2 linked regions of the Tribolium castaneum genome follow. The protein of the gene in region 1 purifies or fractionates together with the protein of each later gene. This does not show direct contact. Links are inferred from orthologs where the notes say so. Each region holds a gene or a part of one and is shown on either strand. Other genes may lie near its edges.

Region 1 (4,108 bases):
AAGTTACATAACTGATGTCCTTTCGAAAAAATGAAAAAAATCGTAAATTTTCACGAAATCGGGGATAGTGCTATTTTTTCGGGAACAATCAATACACTTACATTTAACTACAATTCCAAGTATAAGGGCAGCACAAATGATTCCGGCACTTTGAAACATTTTCTTTGATCTTGTTGTCCCAACTCATACAAAAAACGCACATTAACTAATTGCACTGATTTGAAAAGTGCGGTATTGACGTCTCCCTATCTGTTCGACATTTAGTTGTACTAGCAGGAAGACGACATGACGTCACTGATTCTCCCCTCTACGCAAAGACGTCATCAAGCGTCGAATCGATTGGATTCACTTTGCAGCTTTTTCGAAATAGAGCGCTTTCAGATGGTTTTACTAAATAAAACTGTCTTGCAACAAGAGAAAATGGGACTGGAAATGGCACTCGTTTGAATAATTATGTAACCTGTATTTAAACCACTGAACCAGAAACTCGGAAGCGTCGCTTCTTGTTTTTTAGCCTTCACCTGTGTGGATGAGGTTTACAAATGTGTGGCTTTGAATTTCTTTATGCAGCAAAAAGAGTTTAAAAAACGAGTACGAGCGAAGCTTTGACTAGCTTTTCTTTGAGCTTTTATTACAGAATGATGCAAAAAGTACTGCCAGCTAATATTTATACCTAATTTACACCATTTTAATTTGTATCCCCTCTATTTGAATTAATTACCACATTAGAAAAAACAAATTAACAATTGCCTCAGAAAAAATATAATTTTTTAAAGATAAAAGTTTCCCGAAAAATGTTAGTCACCAAAAATGATACTGTGAAAACTCCAGGAGAATCCAGTGAGGCAGAGAGTATAGAATAGTTCGAACATAAAGAATCAATTATCGTGAGGTTTCATCAAAGATATTTTTTAATATGTATTAAAAAAGTTTTTTTTTCAATAAAATAATATACGCATTTTCATCAGCATTATATAAAGTTCGAGGGCTATCTTTATGCAACGAACGTATGTGAGTTACGTACCAAAACACCCGAGAATTTTAAGCGTGTTCGCATAAGTGTTATTCAAAATTTTTTTCGTTAGAACATTTTAATTTAAAAGACGTTGCTATGGGAAGCGTGTTTTAAAATAGTGAAAACACGTTGCTATCGGAAACGTGTTTTATAATCTAGGATTCAGATATTAAAAAGAAGGCTTAAAAGGTTACCAAAAAAATTAATTTTTAAGGTTTTTTTTTAATTGTATTTATTTATGAATTGTATAAAAACCATTTTAGATGATTCATTAAATAACACTAGTACTGTCTTAACAACAGTTTCAATTGGCCACATCCATAACAGATCACACGCATCGGTTTACAATTTTTGGAATTTTATGATTCTAATAAAAAAAAATATAATTAATTTTAGACCAGCCCCTGTACACAAAAAATTGAGTAAATAAAGTCCTGCAACCAAGAATACACCAATGTACAGTCCCTGACAAAAGTCGCGAACACTGTCAAACTACCACAACCTCACTTTTCGAACTAATTTTAGTGAACCAGCATAATTTCGTAATTTGTAATTATGTGTAAGTGACTATGGAAGTGTCCTCACTCATAAATTCATTGTCCCTAACCGACAAATCAAATATTTTCAACTTCGCTGCAAAAATTAACGAAGTACCCACCGAATTTGCAATTGGTACTTTCACGAATCAGAATCTCTTCGTGATCACACAATTCGGCAAATTGTACAGTTTGTACTCAGTCTCAGTGGACCAGACTGAAAACGGAGTGTGTGCCTCCGAACCTGTCTTTTCAGTTCATCAGTTATTTGGTAAAGAAAATATCTACGCAGAAGCTGCCGCCAGATTCATAACTAAAGAACTCAATATCAGGAAACAACTACTCATTTTCCTGAACTTGAAGGAGTATTCAAGGGACACAGTCCTCGGTATTGTTGAAGCTATTAAGAACTACTCCCAGGATAAAGATGTCTGCGGCAAAGAGAACAAAAGTTGCTGAGAATCACTTTGGCCAGGTTGTAATTGGGCCCCCGGGTTCTGGCAAAACCACGTATTGCGGCAAGGTTTACGATTTTTATAAGGACAAGTTGAACAGGAAAGTGGAAGTTGTGAACTTAGACCCAGCTAATGAAAATATGAATTATAATCCTGCCATTGATGTTATGAAGCTGGTGACTGTTGAAGACGTAATGGACACTTTGAAGCTAGGGCCCAACGGGGCCCTTATGTACTGTATGGAGTACTTGGAGGAAAATTTTGATTGGCTGTTGAAGCAGTTGATTGAAATTAAAAACAGCTACTTAATTTTTGATATGCCAGGACAAGTGGAGCTCTATACACACCATAATTCTATCAAGAATATTTTTGGGAAATTGGAGAAAATGGGCTATCATTTGTGCGCTGTCCATATGGTGGATTCGCACTACTGTTCAGACCCTTCAAAATTTATTTCAACCCTTTTATTGAGTCTTTCCACAATGATGCAAATTGCCCTACCACATGTTAATGTTTTAACAAAGGTAATAAACGAAAACATTTGTATAATTTGTGGACAATAAATTTCGTTCTAGGCTGATTTATTGAAAAAGAATGCGGATAAGTTAGATTTCAATATTGATTTTTATACTGATGTTCTAAACCTTGATTATCTACTAGACTTATTGGATGATGCACCACTTACAAGTAAATACAAAAAACTCAACAAGGCTTTGGTTGATTTAATTCAGGACTACAGTTTGGTTTGTTTTGTTCCATTAGATGTTAAGTCTGAGAGGAGTTTATTAAATTTGAAAAGCGCTATTGATAAGGTAATATATTATTTCAACCAATTTTAGTATTTTACTCATAAAAAATTATTTAGGCCAATGGCTACATTTACGGCAGCGGGGAGGAAAGAACTATTCAAGCCTTACTGTCATGTGCAGTTGGATCAAGAACCGAAAGTGAAAGATATGACGCTGATTTCTTTTAGTGTTTAATTTGTTTCACAAAATAAAAAAATTACTGCATTTTGTTTTTATTACTCCTAAATTTAAAGTAAACCTACCACTACTTTGCTGGAGGTTTGGCCTTCTGTTTTTCCAACTGGGCCCTAAAAAATTATTCGTAGCTCTTGTCCACAAACATCTAATTTTTTACCTCAATTGTTTGTTAAAGTCGTCTTCCACGTTATCATCCTCCCAGTTATCTTCCCAGACACTAATATCTTGCTCATCTTTGTCCTTCCCGGTCCAATCTGAAAGCAAGAGAAACAATTCTGCAAATCACTTTGTAACCTCAAATTTACCCTCAACCGGAAATTCCTCAAACTCATCGTCCTCCTCAAGAACACCAAGATCTAACTTAGGTTTCTCGGTCATGTTTAGATTTTGTTTTATCGATATAATTACAAAATTTGAACGATATGATCGTAAAAAGTTGAAACGTTATTTTCAGAAACTTTTCTAGAAACGACAATTCGATTTGCTTACATTACAGGAAACTGTATTTTTTTTTACATAATGCTGCAACCTGTGGTGGAAGGGCCAAACTTTTACAAATCTTACAGAATTTTCCGATTAAACATTTTTTATTTTTAACTAGATCGTGCAAAGAATTAAATTAGGGTATAATTTGATTATAAATTACAAAATAATTACCAATATTGTAAAAGTAGTATTGCTTTTATCGTGCAAAAACTTTTCTAAAAATGACAATTCGATTTGCTTATATTACAGGAAACTGTAATTTTTTACATGATGCTGCAATTTGTGGACGAGGAACCCAACTCTTACAAGTTTTACAGAATTTTCAGATTAATATTTTTTATTTTTAAAGATCTTGCAAAGAATTAAATTAGGATATGATTTCATTATAAATTAAAAAACTCACCAATATTTTGTACGTAGTATTGCTTTTATTGTGCAGAAACTTTTCTAGAAATGACAATTCGATTTACTTATATTACAGGAAACTGTAATTTTTTTTATATAGTGCTGCAACCTGTGGACGAGGAACTAAACTCTTACAAGTTTTACAGAATTTTTTAGATTGACATTTTTAATTTTTAATTGGATCGTGCAAAGAATTAAATTAGGATATAATTCTATCATAAATTT
Region 2 (2,715 bases), on another chromosome or scaffold:
ACCATGAGTTTCGCCAGCAGAAACGAATTGCGTAAATATCTTCAGCATTGCTTTATCTGTCACTATGTCCAAAATGTTCAGCAAAGAACAAAAAAATTATGTTGGAATCCAGGTTGGAACCTTCTTCCGTAATGGACATCGGGTTAACGTAATAACGTTAACTGTCATGAATAACTAGATCAAAAGTTTAGTAAATCGCATGGTATTTGGATGAGCACTTTAAAAACAGGTCTCTTAAAATTGTGTGATACACACTGTATTTAATAAGGTACCCAACAATTTTTTTAAAAATTTGTAAGCGTAGATAACTTCAATGTTTTTTAAATGTAGGATCTATAATAAGTATAATATATAGTAGTAATAATACAATATTAATTATTAATAAAAAAAGTTAGTTGATATACCAAATAAGTGCTACTGTCAACAATTAATGAATAAATTATTTCATTTTAGCATAATATGCAAAAACAATAAAACTAAAAAACAGAAAATAAGAAAAAAGTCACAAAATAATAATCATACCAATTTATTCTAACAATTAGGCTAAAATTACCGAAAAGTAGTCGGTGTTGTCTTCTAAAAATAAAATAATTTGACGTTTTTAAATGTTTTGTTAGTTAAAAATAGCAAATTGTTTCATGTATGAAACTCGGAGCCAATGAATCAATTTCGGAAAAGCCCGAAATCAGCCAAAAACTTTAAATAAATCACTTGTCTCCAGGCTACCGTCCTAAAACATCGATTTCTTCCAAACTAATGACAGGAAGTTATGTATACATAACCTCAACCTCTAATGAAAAAACCATTTGACAAGCCACCGCCAACTTTATGAACATTTTTCTTTTTGTACAAAACCGGTAAAACTAAAAAATGATCGAGTTACTGAAACTGGAACAATATCCGCAATTTTAGGGCGTGTAAGTTAGAAAACCACAGCGACTAATGATAAGGAAAATTTACTCACACGACCATTCCGTATGCGCCTTCTCCAATGTATGATAAGTTCGTGTAACGGGGGCCCACCTCAAATACCTGACCCCTTACAACTTCTGCATTCGGATTTACACTTGATACACCTGTGGCTTCCGCCATTTTTAGCGAAACCTCCTAAACTACCTTCCTCGATGACAAACTCACGCACACTGAAGCCACAGACTGAAGCAGAGAGGAGCCGATCCCTAATATTTATCAGCTGATATCAGATCGTTATTATTCACACTTATTACCAATTTTTTCAAACTCCAACTAATTGTAGACTCGTTAGTAACGTTTTCACGTGGATTTTTCCAAATTTGAGGCTTTTTTGGTTTTTAAAACGAATTTATTCCCAGAAAAGATAGCCAAATAACGCGCCCCCTGGTGGACCAACTGAACACTAGTCGGGAAGCACCCTAATTTTATTTTCCATTATCGAACCCACAATAGGGCTACAATTTTCATTTTGGCGGCATTTGTAATACCCTATTAGACGTTCGATAAGTTTTTAAACAGAAAAATAAAAAATTCCGATATTTGGTTTTTGACAGATGACAGGACAGGTGACATAACCCACAAAAAAGTGACGCACTAATAAAAAGTTGTTAAAAATTAATAAGCGGTTTAAAAAGCTCAGTGAACAGTATTTCCATTCAGGATGAATGCGCCACCAACCTTCGAGTCATTTTTGCTCTATGATGGAGAGAAAAAGTGAGTGGGCAAATTCTCTGGACCAAAAATTTATTTTTACAAATTGTGTTTTTAGGATAATAAGGGAACAAGACACAAAAGTGCCAAACGCGGCTATTTTTACCATAAACAAAGAAGACCACACGTTGGGAAACATGATCAGAAAGTGTGTAACAAAACATTAAGGTTTAGGTTGAATTATTTTTGATTTTTTAGCCAATTGTTAAAAGATCCGAACGTTTTGTTTGCTGGATACAAGGTGCCTCATCCACTTGAGCATAAATTTGTGTTGAGAATTCAAACAACATCTGATTATTCGCCTCAAGAAGCTTTGATGAATTCTATCACAGATTTGATTTCAGAGTTGTCTTTGTTTGAAGAACGTTTTAAGGAAGCGATCAAGGAAAAGAAAGAAGGTTTAGATTAAGTATTTGAATTTATTCACTAATAATAAAGTTTATGCTTCGATAAATCAGTCTTTGTTATGTACCCAAAAATATGTCTTGCGTCCCAGCGTCAAAAGTTTAAAATGACTTGTTTATTTATGATGGTTAATAATTCGTTTTCAATTTTTATTCAAAATAAGCTATTTAAGATTTATTAAAAGGTGGCAAAGTCTGTGCTTTAAAGCACTTACGTAAATACAGTAAAACCTCAGTGATCCGTGTACACAGGCTGTCCGTTTTGCGAGCTCCACCATGAGTAATAAAATTTTATCGGTCTATTTAAAAATTAGCCTGTATATCGAAAGTGAGTTTTCAATTAAAAAAAAAACCTCAAAAATACTTTAAAACTTGGATGATTTTTGGCTAAATTTTGAAAATAATTCTGACTGCACCGTTATGTCATTTAGGTATTTAAGAACAATTTCATTTTTGTTTACCTTTCCAGAAATTTTTTCTGACTTAATTATAATTATAGTGGTTGAAGAAAGAAACGAGCATGTAACTGTTATTAACAGAAAAATATATTTTTATTTAATTCACAATCCTTTATTTACAATTAACCTCATCAACGGATAACTTACAAAACAACTAATTTGTGTCAAAT

Evidence for each region.
Region 2: the proteins of GPN-loop GTPase 2 (region 1) and Polr2J purify together in Homo sapiens (affinity purification with mass spectrometry; 3 studies listed by BioGRID and IntAct, counting the BioPlex papers as one, with this or other methods). This does not show direct contact. The link is inferred for Tribolium castaneum from reciprocal best matches to the Homo sapiens genes GPN2 and POLR2J.

Annotation. Positions count from the first base shown.
Region 1 is NC_087394.1:30,157,169-30,161,276, forward strand, and holds GPN-loop GTPase 2, read left to right. Parts: upstream 1-1,480; 5' UTR 1,481-1,978; coding exon 1,979-2,530; intron 2,531-2,581; coding exon 2,582-2,818; intron 2,819-2,871; coding exon 2,872-2,982; 3' UTR 2,983-3,461; downstream 3,462-4,108. Other genes in the region: uncharacterized protein LOC664179, read right to left, coding at 102-159. UniProt on the Homo sapiens protein: Small GTPase required for proper localization of RNA polymerase II and III (RNAPII and RNAPIII). May act at an RNAP assembly step prior to nuclear import.
Region 2 is NC_087395.1:21,130,978-21,133,692, forward strand, and holds Polr2J (DNA-directed RNA polymerase II subunit RPB11), read left to right. Parts: upstream 1-1,390; 5' UTR 1,391-1,633; coding exon 1,634-1,686; intron 1,687-1,741; coding exon 1,742-1,831; intron 1,832-1,881; coding exon 1,882-2,092; 3' UTR 2,093-2,137; downstream 2,138-2,715. Other genes in the region: mitogen-activated protein kinase 1, read right to left, coding at 965-1,092. UniProt on the Homo sapiens protein: Core component of RNA polymerase II (Pol II), a DNA-dependent RNA polymerase which synthesizes mRNA precursors and many functional non-coding RNAs using the four ribonucleoside triphosphates as substrates.